Elephas maximus indicus: one gene and its partner. The protein of the gene in region 1 purifies or fractionates together with the protein of each later gene. This does not show direct contact. Links are inferred from orthologs where the notes say so. Each region holds a gene or a part of one and is shown in the gene's direction. Other genes may lie near its edges.

The links. The genes of interacting proteins can lie anywhere in the genome.
Region 2: the proteins of SETDB1 (region 1) and SUV39H1 purify together in Homo sapiens (affinity purification with mass spectrometry; 3 studies listed by BioGRID and IntAct, counting the BioPlex papers as one, with this or other methods). This does not show direct contact. The link is inferred for Elephas maximus indicus from reciprocal best matches to the Homo sapiens genes SETDB1 and SUV39H1.

What each region holds. Positions count from the first base shown.
Region 1 is NC_064821.1:184,996,403-185,004,144, forward strand, and holds the start of SETDB1 (histone-lysine N-methyltransferase SETDB1), read left to right. Parts: upstream 1-4,607; 5' UTR 4,608-4,694; intron 4,695-4,700; exon of another isoform or gene 4,701-4,804; intron 4,805-5,061; exon of another isoform or gene 5,062-5,160; intron 5,161-6,170; 5' UTR 6,171-6,181; coding exon 6,182-6,441; intron 6,442-7,336; coding exon 7,337-7,488; intron 7,489-7,742. UniProt on the Homo sapiens protein: Histone methyltransferase that specifically trimethylates 'Lys-9' of histone H3. H3 'Lys-9' trimethylation represents a specific tag for epigenetic transcriptional repression by recruiting HP1 (CBX1, CBX3 and/or CBX5) proteins to methylated histones.
Region 2 is NC_064846.1:122,905,832-122,913,572, forward strand, and holds the start of SUV39H1 (histone-lysine N-methyltransferase SUV39H1), read left to right. Parts: upstream 1-4,364; 5' UTR 4,365-4,422; coding exon 4,423-4,447; intron 4,448-6,362; coding exon 6,363-6,508; intron 6,509-7,732; coding exon 7,733-7,741. UniProt on the Homo sapiens protein: Histone methyltransferase that specifically trimethylates 'Lys-9' of histone H3 using monomethylated H3 'Lys-9' as substrate. Also weakly methylates histone H1 (in vitro).

The sequences.
Region 1 (7,742 bases):
CCAGCAGAGGAAGCAAAGATGTACACAGATAACTCACACGCGGAATAAACCAAGGCGATAGAAGCACAGGGCAGGAGTTAATTCTGTAAGGGGTGAGGGGCAATTTAAGACAATGATTCTTAAACTCTAGTCCCAGGACCAGTAGCATACGCATCACCTGGAAAAACGATACATAAATTCTCAGACCTTATGCAAATCAAAACTAGAACAAGATACCATCTCACCCGGACACTACTGGCACAAACCAGAAAATAACTAATGTTGGAGAGGCTGTGGGGAGATTGGAACTCTTATGCACTTCTGGTGGGAATGCCAAATGGTACTACCATTTTGGAAAATAATATTGCACTTCCTTAAAAAACTAGACATAGAAATACTATACAATCCAGCAATCCCACTTTTAGGAATATACCCTAGAGAAATAAGAACCATCAAATGAAGAGACATGTGCACACCCATATTCACTGCAGCATTATTTACAATAGCAAAAAGATGGAAACAACCTAAGTGTTCATCAACAGATGAATGGATAAACAAACTATGGTACATACACACAATGGAATACTATGCAACAATAAAGAACAATGATGATTCTGAAACATCTCACAACACGGAGGAATCTGGAAGGCATATGCTGAGCGAAATAAGTCAATCACAAAAGGACAAATACTGTATGAGACCACTACTATAAAAATCTATGAAAAGGTTTACACATAGAAAGAAACAATCTTTGATGGTTACGAGGGAGGGTAGGGGTGGGAAGGGAAAAACACTAACTAGACAACAGGTAAGTGATAACTTTGGCGAAGAGTAAGACAGTACACAATACTGGGAAAGTCAGCACAACTTGATCAAGGTGAGGTCATAGGAGCTTCACAGACACATCCAAACTCCCAGAGGGAGCAAATTACTGGGCTGAGGGCTAGAGACCATGATCTCAGGGGACATCTAGCTCAATTGGCATAACAATTTATAAAGAAAATGTTCTACATTGTAACACACTTTATCAGCTATACCCAGTCCTCTCACATTCCAGCAATTACGTAGGCCTGCCCTTCCTGGCACTCTTGTGGTTGTTGTTGTTCTTAGGTACTGTTGAGTCACTTCCGACCTGTAGCGACCCACAGAACAAAACACTGCCTGGACCTGCGCCATCTTCACAATCATTGTTATGCTTGAGCCCATTGTTGCAGCTGCTGTGTCAGTCCACCTTGTTGAGGGTCTTTCTGTTTTTCCCTGGCCCCCTACTTTACCAAGCATGATGTCCTTCTCCAGGGACTTATCCCTCCTGGTAACATGTCCAAAGTACATGAGATGTAGCCTCGCCATCCTTGCTTCTAAGGAGAATTCTGGTTGTACTTCTTCCGAGATAGATTTGGTCATTCTTTTCCCAGGCCATGGTATATTCAGCATTCTTCACCAACACCACAATTCAAAGGCGTCAGTTCTTCTTTGCTCTTCCTTATTCATTGTTCAGCTTTCGCATGCATTTGGGGCAATTGAAAACACCATGGCTTAACTCAGGCGCACCTTAGTCTTCAGTGTGACATCTTTGCTTTTCAACACTCTAAAGAGGTCTTTTGCAGCAGATTTTTCCAGTGCAATAATGCGTCTTTTGATTTCTTGACTGCTGCTTCCATGAATGTTGATTGTGATTCCATGAATGTTGAATGTTGATTGTGGATCCAAGTAAAATGAAGTCCTTGACAACTTCAGCATTTTCTTTGTTTATCATGATGTTGCTTATTGGTCAAGTTGTAGGTGGTTTTGTTTTCTTAATGTTGAGGCATAATCCATGCTGAAGGCTGGGGTCTTCCATCTTCATCAGTAAGTGCTTCAAGTCCTCTTCACTTTTAGCAAGCAAGGTTGTGTCATCTGCATAACACAGGTTGTTAATGCATCTTTCTCCAGATTATTTGCTCAGCATACAGATTGAATAGGTATGGTGAAAAGATACGACCCTGACGCACAACTTTCCTGACTTTAAACCACACAGTATCACCGTGTTCTGTTCGAACGACTGCCTCTTGATCTGTCCACAGGTTCCTTATAAGCAAAACTAAGTGTTCTGGAATTCCCAGTTTGTCGTCCTGTGGGGGCTTGCATGTTGCTGTGATGCTGGAAGCTATGCCACCAGTATTCAAATACCAGCAGGGTCACCCATGGTGGACAGGATTCAGCTGAACTTCCAGACTAGGACAGACTAGGAAAAAGGACCCAGTGGTCTACCTCTGAAAACAATTAGCCAATGAAAACCTCATGAATAGCAGCAGAATATTGTCTGATATAGTGCTGGAAGACGAACCCTCCAGGTTGGAAAGCACTCAAAAGACAATTTGGGAAGAGCTGCATCCTCAAAGTAGAGTGGATCCTGATGATGTAGATGGAGTCAAGCTTTTGGGACCTTCATTTGCTAATGTGGCATGACTCAAAATGAGAAGAACAGCTGCAAACATCTATTAATAATTTGAAGATGGAATGTACGAATTATGAATCTAGGAAAACTGGAAAACATCAAAAATGAAATGGAACACATAAACATCGATATCCTAGGCATTAGTGAGCTGAAATGAACTGGTATTGGCCATTTTGAATCAGACAATCATATGATCTACTATACCAGGAATGGCAACTTGAAGAGGAATGGCATTGCATTCATTGTCTCTTGTGACTGGGTGGGGCCTTATGACTAGTTGGAGCCAATGAGTTGTAAATGAAAGTGATCTAAGTTACTTTAATTGCCATGTGAGGCCGTTGGTAACTCTCTCTCTTTGGCTTAGCTACACATCAGCCTGGGTCCCTGAGTGGCTACCATGAGCTGAGTTCCACAATATAACCTAGCCTATCCTGATACAAATATTATTTTACACACATCAAGTTCTTAAAAATTAAGTAGACAAATTAGATAGCAGACAAGACCTATTTTAGGTGAAGGAAAAGACAACACACAGGAGAGGTCAGCACAACTGAACTAAACCGAAAGCAAAGAAGTTTCCTGAATACAACAGAACACTTCAAAGGCCAGAGTAGCAGGGACAGGGATCTGGGAACCATGGTTTCAGAGGACATCTAGGTCAGGTGGCAGAACAAAATGTATTAAGAAAACACTCTGCATCCCACTTTGGTAAGTGGCGTCTGGGGTCTTAAATGCTGGCAAGCAGCCATGTAAGATGCATCAATGGGTCTCAACCCACCTGGAGCAAAGGAGAATAAAGAATACCAAAGATGCAAGGTAAATAAGAACCCAAGAGATAAAAAGGGCCACATAAACCAGAGACTCCATCAGCCTGAGATCAGAAGAACTAGATGGTGCCCAGCTATGACAGATAACTGCCCTGACAGGGAACACAACAGAGAATCCATGCTGGAGCAGAAGAAAAGTGGGATACAGACTTCAATTTCTCATAAAAAGACCTGAGTTAACGGTCTGACTGAGACTAGAGGGACCCCAGAGGCCATGGTCCCCAGACCTTTTGTTAGCCCAAGACTGGAACCATTCCTGAAGCCAACGCTTCAGACTGGGATTGGACTGGACTGTAAGCCAGAAAATGATACTGGTGAGGAGTGAGCTTCTTGGCTCAAGTAGACACATGAGGCTAAGTGGGCAGCTCTTGTCTGGAGGGGAGGTGAGAAGGCAGAGGGGCACAGGAGCTGGTTGAATGGACACTGGGAATACAGGGTGGAGAGGAAGAGTGCACTGTCTCATTAGCGGGAGAACAGCTAGGAGTACACAGCAACGTGTGTATGTTTTTGTATGAGAGACTCACTTGATTTGTAAAGCACAATTAAAAAAAATTAAGTAGAGAGTTAACATTCAGTTCTAATGAGAGTGGGGGGAAACAGGTACTTTCAAAAATTTGTTAGTAGAAGTATAAATTGTTACAACCTTTTGAAAAGTAATTTGACAAAAGATTCCTTTAAAATGAAAAATGTGCAAATCTTTTCACTCAGAGATAACGGTTTTGGGGAATTTATCCCACAGAAATAGAAGCTCTGGTGGCGTACAGGTTAAGGCAATCGACTAAGCGACAGCTCCGCCGTTTGAAGCCACCAGCGGTTCTGTGAGAGAAAGAAGTGGCAGTTGGCTTCCGCGTAGACAGCCTTGGAAACCCTATGGGGTTGCTATGAGTCCGTTTGATGGAAATGGGTATTATGCAGTTGTCAAAAAGACAAGTTTTATCTCTTTCATTGACTTCAAGCAATAGCCACACATTAAATGAAAACAAAAAATCCATATGCATGAAAGTTCATGTATAAGCCTAGAGAAAAAAGTTGTCTTATATCAAAGGAGCAGAGGTAGTAAATAAGGGGAGGGGAAATGATTATCACGTTTTTCTTATTACATCTGGATATCCTTTGATTTGTATGATTTACGTAATAAAATCAAGTAAAAGTAACAAATAATACCGAAACCTAAGATTGTTTGTCTACTGAGTCTTTACACAATAACCGTAGAATCACTGGCACCAGTGGAGGGTGGTGGGAGTGAAGGGTGGTAGAAGAGGCGGGGCTTCTTTAATACACTCCTGGCCACGCCTACTTTATCCGGCCACGGATTCTCACGTGTGCTCCGAAAGGCTCTGCCTTGACGCATGCGTAGTCGCCTAAGTCAGTCTCAGCCTCTTAGGGGCGCCCCGCGGCTTTGAATTTGACCCCATTAGGCTACCGTCGCGGTGACCGGAACGGCGCCTAAGGTTTGCTTCCGGGCGTCCCCTTTCCTCCCTCACGTTTCCTCCCCCTCCCCTGTTCTTCATTCCCTTCGTTTTCGTTCTTTCCTCTTCCCGTCCAGGCCGACCTGAGAGTGGTGAGTCTGGGGTCTGGTTGGTGAAAAAGAGCTTTTGCAGCTGGGAGCGGGGAGGTAGGGAATACTGTTAGTTGAGGTATCTAGGGACCAAAGGCTTGTCTGGAATGTTTTGTTTGTAGAAGGAGGTTGGGCGAAAGTAGGAAGGAAGTTTTCCCCGAGAGGCGACCGGGGGCGGGGTCGAGATGGGCCTATGGGTGGATGGGACGCCCCCTCTAAATTGGGTAGCTTGGGGGAGGGAGGGTCGGACGGGTGTGGTAAAAAAATGGAGGCACTGGGAACTGGCGTTGAGGTCGCACGGCTTATCTGACATCAGTCTTGTTTCTACCGTTTGATCGGAAAAACAGTTTAACGCCAATGTGAGTTTTTTGGATTGTGAACTTAAGATAGCCACATTTTATTCCCAAATTAATTTACTTCCTTTTACTTTAGGGGTACCTCTTTTTGCTGCAAGCTTTTGTGTGCTTAAGACTTTTTTTGTGGCGTTACAGACAGCGATCACATTTAGAAAGTAAATTTTCACACCGAAGCGAAGTAATATAAGGGAGACAAGTAGTTAAAAGAGAAAACACCGCAAAGTGCGTTACAGAGCAAAGCCCCCTCCCCAGGTGGGGATATTTGTTCAAATTAGGGATAAGATGTAGGCATAGATCTATCTCATTAGTCGATTAAGAAACCAATTGGCTCACAGAAATTATTTTCCTATGTAGATTGATTCTCTTCAGTTTGCTAAAACATTTTCATTGGTTCTCCACTGCATAAGAATCAGGTAAAACTTCTTAAGCCTTGCAAGGCATTCTAATTTGGCTCCAATTTAGCTTTTCAGTTTATCTCACCACTACCTGTGTTTTACCCAAAACATCCAAAGTTCTTGAAATACTCTCATAGTTTTCCCCCACCTGGAATGTCCCCCAACTGAATTTTCAAGTTCTGTTTCAAGTATCCTATAACAACCAGCTTGCAAAATTATGTTAGAAGCCTTGTAAAAAAGAACAACATAAATGTAACCAGTTCCTAACTTCTGGTAACACACTGACGTGAAATGCACGTACAGAATAGAATTTTTTACAGACGCTAGAAAATAAGCATTATTATGTCATATGTGAATTGTAAGGTAAGATGCCTATGTAGCCTATGGGACTGTGTTTTCCACGCTTTTCAATCTGAAATCTTATTCAGGCCTGTTAGTGTATAGCATAGGCTGAGAACTCTACGAAATCTCAGCATCAAATTCTGGAGAATGGGGAAAGAGAACATAGAATCAAATTTAAATAGCAGGTAACAGAGTAGGAATGAGTTTTATTAGGGGAGTGAAATTTCCTACTGATTGTAGTTACAATGACCCCAAGGGTAATTCTGTTCTATTCAGAGGACATCAGCATGTCCTCCATTCCTGAGTGCGTCGGTTTGGAGGCAGCAACTGCTGCAGTGGAGTCTGAAGAGATTGCAGAGCTGCAGCAGGCTGTGGTTGAGGAGCTAGGCATCTCTATGGAGGAACTTCGGCAGTTCATTGATGAAGAACTGGAAAAGATGGACTGCGTACAGCAGCGCAAGAAGCAGCTAGCAGAATTGGAGACCTGGGTAATACAGAAGGAATCTGAGGTGGCCCATGTTGATCAGCTCTTTGATGATGCATCCAGGTGAGGACTATACAGAAACTAAAAGGAAATCTCTTCATTGCAGGCATTTTTAATGTATAATTGGTCACGACATCGTGCAAAGCACTTTGTACTTTATAAAGTACAAATGTGTAGGACCCTATTCTTCCTCATAGTTTATGGTTCAGAATCAGACTTCACAACCACCATACATAGACTACCCATTTATCAGAGCTTCACATGTGATCAGCAGTAGGGGAGTCCATGTCTTGAGTCCCTTTTCTCTTTCCCCATTCTACTTCATAATCCTACTTTGTTTCCCTAATAAAATCATTTAGGGAATCAAAATCGTAAAGAGTTACTTGCTGTCTTATGTAGTTGTAGAGCATTAATAAACTTGAAAAACCCTATATCTGCTCCTAAACCCCCAGAAGATTTGTTTATGGTGCCCTAGTTGTTACCTAAAACACATTTTCAAATAACAATAAGCTAATTAATGAGGTACGGTTGAAAGGACTATGCTCTGGGCTTATTTTGGATATTTGAGGAACTAGTCTGGAAACCAGACCACCATTTAAAACATTTTTCTATGGGAAAAGCATGTTAAATTCTAAACAGCAGAATTTACAATTATATAGCGTATGGTTTAAATTGAGGACAGTCTACACTTATATATAAATTTTAATGGTTCCTTCACCTACTTCGGAAACTCTGGTGGCGTAGTAGTTAAGTGCTATGGTTGCTAACCAAAAGGTCGGCAGTTCGAATCTGCCAGCCGCTCTTTGGAAACTTTATGGGGTAGTTCTATTCTGTCCTATAGGATCGCTATGAGTCGGAATCGACTGAACAGCAGTGGGTTTGGTTTTGGTTTTTTTTTTTTTTGACACCTACTTCATCTGCTGGTTTTGACCTTCTTTTCCACATGTGTTCCAATTAGGGCAGTGACTAATTGTGAGTCTTTGGTGAAGGACTTCTACTCCAAGCTGGGACTACAATACCGGGAAAGTAGCTCTGAGGATGAAGCTTCTCGGCCTACAGAAATAATCGAGATTCCTGATGAAGATGATGATGTACTCAGTATTGATTCAGGTAAGGGATAAGGCTTTGGATAGAAAAGTCTCGAACTGGAAGATGAGCAGATGGAAGATAAGAAAGGGGAAACCAGAGTCACCAACTTGATATTTTGAACTGCCTGACCTATTAGTATCATAGATGTCCCCTCTTTGTTACTCCTCAGTTGGCATCAACCTTCTTTCCCAATTCTTTGTAACCTCTGTTCTGAATTCCCTTGCGTTTCTTCAGAAGTGGCATCACCAGCTATGTATGTATCCCACAACAATAGG
Region 2 (7,741 bases), on another chromosome or scaffold:
CATTGGGGATAAGATATCAGGAGTGGGAGCTGGCTTTGCCCCTTAAAAATTCTCCCAGAACCATGTAAGGGGAAATTCCCCTTGAGGAGGAGGAGGGGGCGTGTCTCAGGTTTCTTTTAATTTTTGAAATATTTCATTATTCCACTCCCACCCTAACCAGCCAGGCTCCCAGCATGAGCACTGAGTCTAGAAAGGACCTGTCAGGTATCAATTACCCCCTCCCCACCCCTGCAGAAAGCCTAGAAATCCAGTGCTCCAAGACATCTCCCTTCTGCTGGGTGCTAGGGCCGTTTCTCCACCTTTGGATAGGAAGGCATCACCCAACCTCTGAATCCCCTTGAGCATGGGCTAGAGAAGGCAGAGACTCGAGGTGAAAGAATTGACCGTGGGTGAGTTACTTGACCTCTTTGGGCCCCAGTTTCCTCAGTCTTTAAAATAGAAATAAAAATGCTTACCTCATAGGGCTGTATTGAGAATTAAAGTAGATGGTGTCTGCAAACTGTCTGGATCATTGTAGGCATTTATAAACATTAGCTGCCACTATTGTTGCTGTGGTTGTTATTGTTATTACTGAATTTCACTGACTCTGACTCACCATTGATTTATAAAATTATAAAATACACCATTATTTTATGGATCACTAAGAAAAGCAAAAAAAAAAAAAAAAAAAAAAAACCTACCAATTAAATTATGACCCAACAGTGCTTGTAAGACACAGGCTGATTTCAGAGATGTTAAAAAATTAAACAGTTCTGGAGGCCTGGCTGGTTATGTTGTTTCTTGACCTGCCTTCTGGTTCTACATGCGTATTCACTTGTAAAAACTCTTCATGACATTCTCCCATGGTCTATGTACTCTTCTGTATGTGTGTTACACTTCACCATGAGGTTTACATTAAAAACAGGTTCAACCTGTGCAGCTTAAAATGGATAAAACCTTATGCCCTCAGCACTAAGAGAGGCAATATACACAAGAGGCACTGGATTAATGCTGAACAAACAGACAAATGGCTTTAGGCAGGACACAGGAGTACTAGGATGACCTCTTACTTTTGAGGTCTCCTGAAAAGGTGCTAGTCCCAAAGGGTTAACTAGTCCATAGGGTTAACTTGTATAAGGTCACACAATTTAGTAAGTGGTGGAGCCAGGATTTGAACCCAGGCAGTCTGGCTCCAGAATCCATGCCTTTACCCGATACATTATATTGTTTGGAGAGGCCCAAAGGAAGCTCTTCATCACTAGCAGACCCCTATAGCTCCCCTCCAGATTCAGGTGGAAAAAGGTCATGCCTTAAACCACTCTTGTGGGTTGGGCAGGTCTCCAAGGCCTCTGGAAGTGGGATGGCCCAGGCCACCCAAGGAGACTGGGGCACGTGAGGACCAGCATGTGACTCTGTTCTAGAAAGAATAAAGGAGGGAAGGGGCATGCCTGGTGGGATTACGCTTTTGACTGTTACACTTATGGTAAGGAGGGGCTGATAGAACGTCAGACTGACCAGCCATTCCTCCAATCAGCTCACAGCTGGACTAGCAGGAAGACAGAATAACTGGCTAACTGTATAACCATTTGGTTAACTGTGCAACTCATGGACCAACAGGGAGAGGGGCAATTTGAGGAACTGACAATGTGGTTTCCTGATGCTGTGAAGTACTGAACATCTGACTGACTTACAGCCCGCCTGGGCCTGGCTGGGGCTGGTGGCCTGACAGTGTGGAGGACAAGGAGCCTCCTGAAAGAGTTACAGGCTGACCAACTGACTGATGGTGTTGCTGCCGGACTGGGAGGCAGGATGTTACAGGGCTGAGGGAATGTCTAAATGTTATAGTCTGATGATGCGTAAAGAAGGGCTACGCTGAATTTCAGGTTGACTGATCAACAAATCTGTGGTTGCCTGATGTTGTTGTTATTGTTAGTTGCCATTGAGTTGGCTCCAAGTCATGACAACCTTAAGTATAACAGAATGAAACATTGCCTGGTCCTGTGCCATCTTCATGATCATTGGTGTGTTTGAGCCTATTGTTGTGGCTATGTGTCAGTCCATTTCATTAAAGGTTTCCTTCATTTTCACTGACCCTCTATTTTCAACCATGATGTCCTTTTCTAGTGACTGCTTTTTGGGATGACATGTCCAAAGTAAGTGAGTCGGAGTCTCATCCTGGTTGTATTTCTTCTAAGACTGATTTGTTTGTTCTTCTGGCAGTATACAGTGTATTTGATATTCCTTGCCAACATCACAGTTCGAATGCATCAATTCTTCTTCTGTCTACCTTTTAATTGTCCAGCCTTTCCATGCATATGAGATTGAAAAGACCATGGCCTGGGTCAAGCACACCTTAGTTGTCAAAGTGATATCTTTGCTTCTTAAAACTTTATGGAGGTCTTTTGGCTGATGGGAGCCCTGGTGGTGCAGTGGTTAAGAGCTCGGCTGCTAACCAAAAGTTCAGCAGTTTGAATCCACCAGCTAGCTGTTCCTTGGAAACCCTGTGGGGCAGTTCTACTCTGTCCTATTGGCTCCCTATGAGTCAGAATCAACTTGATGGCAATGGGTTTGGTTTGGCTGATAGGCTACTATATATGGTGACTGACTGTTATGGATTGAATTGTGTCCCCCAAAATGTCAATTTAGCTAGGTCATGATTCACATACTGTGTAATTATCCACCATTTCATCATCTGATGTGATTTTCCTATGTGTTGTAAATCCTACCTCTATGATGTTAATGAGGCAGGATTAGAGACAGTTATGTTAATGAGGCAGGATTCATTCTACAAGATTAGGTTCTTTTGAGTCAATCTCTTTTGAGATATAAAAGACAGAAGCGAGTAGAGAGACAGGGGGACCTCATGCCACCAAGAAACAAGAGCCAGGAGAATAGTGTGTCCTTTGGACCCAGGGTTCTTGTGCTGAGAAGCTCCTAGGCCAGGGAAAGATTGATGACAAGGACCTTCCTCCAGAGCCAACAAAGAGAGAAAGCCTTTCCCTGGAGCTGGCATCCTGAATTTGGACTTCTAGCCTACTAGACTGTGAGAGAACAAATATGTCTTTGTTAAACCCATCCACTTGTGGTATCTCTGTTGTCGCAGCACTAGAGAACTAAGACACTGTTCATCTTGAGTGAACCACAGCATGCTTGAGGGCCTGGATGGTTGCTCTGACTGAATGACTCTCTGACAGACAGTGTGGTCAGTTGGATTCTGAGGATGACGAACCGGCTGACTGACAATATGATGAAGGACCAACTGAAGGAATCACAGGCTGCCTGACCATCTGAAAACTTAGCATAACTGCCTCACTTGGTGGCTGTACATGGTTATGGACTGTTTGCCCTGATGGAATCACAGGCTCCCTGATAGAGCCCAATGGGTCACAGGAGATTGACTGACCGGCCAATGGTGTGGATAAGTAGCCTGAGAAATTACAGACTGGCTGACCTATTGACGGGTAGTGTGGAGGCTCTATTGTACCATTAGTCGCTGTGACTATTTGCTCTGAAGGCCTAGCTCGGTGTTAAGACTGATTAACTGGCTGATCATGGTGTGAATGAGTAGCAACCTGAGGGAATTACAGGGTGACAGGGCTATGTTAGATGCTGAAAATGACAGCTTGTCCTGACCTAATCACAGCCTGCCTAAGGGCATGGCCCGATGCTGTGGCTTACTGAGGGGTGTATGAGATGATTCCTCCAGGTCCCAGGGCAAGGGTACGTGGTATGACAGGCTAATTGACTGACAATGTAAAGGAGCGGTCAGGCTGGCTAACAAGGGGAGTTGGTAGTAAGTGCAGTCTGAGTTGAGGGCATTGCAGCTGGCCTGAGGACACAAATGGATGCCGCTACTCCCTGACAGACTGATAGGGTGTAAGGGGGGTGGGGTGTCTGACTAGACAGCTGTGGTGACCTGAACTGGGCGACTGGCTGATTGACAGTGCTAACTGGGGGTCTGACAGGACGGAGAATCCGCCTCTACGACTGTTAACAACGTGATTGGCTAACAGCGTGACAGACAGACCCGCGTACAGGCAGGGCCTCCGGCAGCCCCAGCTACCGGTGCTGCCGCTGCCACCGCCCAGGCGCACTCTGGGAAACCGAAGGCAAGCACCCGCCTTCGGGACCGGTGGGGTGGCGGGGAGGGGTCCGGTCACGCTCGCCGGTTGGTCCGCGCGGGCGCCGCTCGCTGCGCGGCGTGGCCAATAGGCTGTGCGTTCTCGGCCACGCCCGCGCGAGCTCTCTTCTCGCGAGGCCGAGTAGGCCCGAATGTCGTTAGCCGTGGGGAAAGATGGCGGAAAATTTAAAAGGTGAAGCGGTGGCGGCAGCGGCGCAGGCTCGCTGGCAGGGCCGGGGTGGGCTGGAGGGATGGCGCAGCGGGCTCAGGGGCCCGGCATCCGAGGCCACGGAGCCGGCAGCTGGAAGCCTGGCGTGGAAAGGATGGGGCTCGGGGAGCGCGGGCCTGGTGCGCGGGGCTGGGCGGGGCTGTGGGAAGGGGCGCGTGTCTCCGAACGTGGCCGGCGCGGGGTGAAGGGCGGGCGCGGGATGGGGCGGGCGTGGGAGCGCGTGCTCCAGGTCGCGACTGGACCGGCGCGCGTACGCGCAGGGGGTCGTCCGGGAGGCCGCACCCGCGCGCGGGAAAATGGGCCGCCGGTGACCGTTACCCGCCTGGTGCCCACGCGAGATGCCGGAAAGGGAGGAGAGGGAGCCCGACCCTTGGGTATAGATGCTAAGTGATCCACTCAGTGGGGGGACAGGGTACTGTTCAGGGGTAAGCAGGGAAGGAGTTTGGAGTAGAGTGGACTCCCCCAGGATGGGGGGAAGTGGATTCCCCAGTGTGCAGGGAAAGGGTGATTTTCTCAGTATGGAGGGTGGTGGAGTGGGCTCCTCTCTGAGGAAAGCTGCGGGGAGGATGAGAGACCACAAGTGTGGCGGTGGGGGGTGGGGGGACCTCTGAGGGCTAGGAGAGTGTAGCCAGGTCAGTGCCAAGTGCATGCTGGAGCCAGCAGCTGGCGATGTTAGTTGGGACCACTTGAGATGGGGGGTTTTGAATACGAGTTAAGGGGTTTGGAAGGGAGAGGGCATCACAGGGAGGGGAAAGCCTGGGCCTAGGCCCAGAGCCTGGAAGGGAGATACAGAGTTGAAGAGTCTAGGCCTGCCTAAGTGGAGGAGGGAAGTGTACATGAAATAATTTTGAAAAGCTCTTGTATATTTTTAGGTTGACATACTTTATCGTGAGTTTAAATAAACTTGATTTTTGTAATGGGAGGTAGAAAATGTTAAACACTTAAAAACTATAAAATAGGTGTTGTGAAATGATTTGATAAAATGACTTCTAAAACAATGTGGAATCAAATATAAATCTTTATTTTTTTAATCAGTGTGTCCTAAAAATTTTTGGTAGCCCCAGAAAACATTCCAGGCATATTTAAAAGAATCATCACAAACATATACTGCTTTGCCTATTCCTGAATTCAGAACATACCCATTTGGGCCAGCTTTACCCTTCACAGAAATGTGGATGAAGCAGGGAAAGTCAAACCACAATGTGAAAAAAATGCAGTGGGGTTTAAGGTACCAAGACTACTCATTCAAGGAAGTTGCCTGTAATCTACCATTCCACATTTATTAAAAATTCTGAAATCTAAAAAATCCTGAAAACTGAAATCTTTTTCTTAAATTGGGCACCATTCAGTGGCAAAACTAGATTATAAGGTAGAACTATTCAGTGCCACTATTTTACATTTTTATTTCTCCTATTTAATGTGAAAATTCTTACTTTTGCTGTAGATATATTAATGCATTTGATTATGGCATGATACCCTAAGTACTGGGGGTGTTATGGTAGATACATGGAAATACATTTGTAAAAAAAGATTTTTTTTTAAACATATCTGCCCCCCCCCCCCCCCCCCGCCTTTTCAGATAAGACATTGTGGACCAGTCTTTCCAGTTTTGCCTTTGTTTTGTGCCCTGGAGGTTTTAATTCTCGCCCCCACCACCTTCCCCTTAGAGCATCCTACTGAGATGGGGGGGTTGTTCCCTTTCTTTTGTAAAGTGAGGAGAAGGGTGCTCAGATTCCGAACTCTAGGCAGGTTTGCTGGAAGTTTTAACAAATAGTAAGGGAGTTAGAAGCTCTGGGAATTGATTCCTTTAGGACAGACTTTGAGGACCTCTGCTCCAGGGGTAGCCTTGAGCAGTGAGCCTTGGGGTTCAAGGAAATGGCACATTTTGGTTATAGAAGGGTCCCAGCTTTCGGAAAGGCCTGTGGATTAAATCTGACTGAGGCAGTCCTTGGAAAGTCCCAGGGAGGATTTGGGGTCCTTTTGGGTGCCTGGCCAGGCTACCCAGTAATAGTTCTTCCTGCCCCCTTGTTCCAGGCTGCAGCGTGTGTTGCAAGTCTTCTTGGAATCAGCTACAGGACCTGTGCCGCCTGGCCAAGCTCTCCTGCCCTTCCCTCGGTATCTCCAAGAGGAATCTTTATGACTTTGAAGTCGAGTACCTGTGTGACTACAAGAAGATTCGTGTGAGTCTGGGGGTGACCGTGATCCTGGGCCGGGGAGGAGTGTCTCAAGGGAGTAGGCTTCTTGCCCTCCTGCCTCCCACTGCCTGCATTTGTTTTCCAAACGGAATTTTCTCCTTCGATCCTAAAAGATGTCTCATGTCCATTTTACAGGTGGGGAAACTAAGTGGCTTTCTGAGGGGGCAGAAGCCAGAATGAATCCCCAAATAAGTCTTTCTTCCCACCTCCCTAGGAAGACAAACCAATTGCAAAGATTGAGAATACTTCTTAGATGCTGAGCCCAGGAGTGGAGATGATGATAGGTAACAGTTACTGAGTACTTTCAGTGTGCCAGCCACTTCCTAAGAAACTCATTTAACTCCCCTAACTGTGAAGTGGGAACTGTTACTGTTGCTAGAGGAGGTTAGTGAAGGATAGTTAAGACTAGAGCCAGCCTGCTTGGGTTCCAATCCTGGCTGTGTAACCTTGGGCTACTTTCCCAAACTCTCTGTACTTCACTTACCTGATCTGTAAAATGGGGGTGATAATAGAGTGTTGTGAGGAATAAATTAGTTAATAACGCATGGGACCTGTTACCTAATGAATGCTAGTAAGATGTTAGCTATATTCTTATTTACAGATGAGGAAACTGTGGCCCAGCAAAGTTAAATGACTTGCCTAAGGTCACACAGCTAGGGCATGGCAGATCTAGGATTTGTACTCAGGGTATCTAACTCTCAAATCTGTGCTATAGGGGGTGAGAGTGGAAGCCGGGGGACACAGCCCAGGCAAGCAATGATGGTGGTGGCAGTGAGGATGGTTTGAAGTGGTTGGATTCTGGAGGTATTTTGAAGGTTGGGCTGGCAGGATTTGCTGCAGGTGGTTGTGGGGAGTGTGAGAAAGAGAGTCAAGGATGACCAGGAATTTGAGCTCAGCAGGTAGAAGCATGGAGCTGATGTTTACTGAGATGGCAAAGATGGTGTGGAGGGAGTAGGTTTAGGAGATTAGATTAATGGGATTTGGACAGGTAGTAGTTAAGTAGGAGAGTGGAATTTGAACCTAGTAAATCCTCACTCCAAAGCCCATGCTTTCTAATCACTGTATGGATTAGAAAAGGGCGGAGGGGAGTGATGTGGGCAGAGGGGAGTGATGTGGGCATTATCCATATGCTTTGGAGTGGAAGTCCCACAAGGGCTGGCACAAGGGTCTCACCACTTATAGTGCTCTTGTCCCTTTGCCCCCCAACAGGAACAGGAG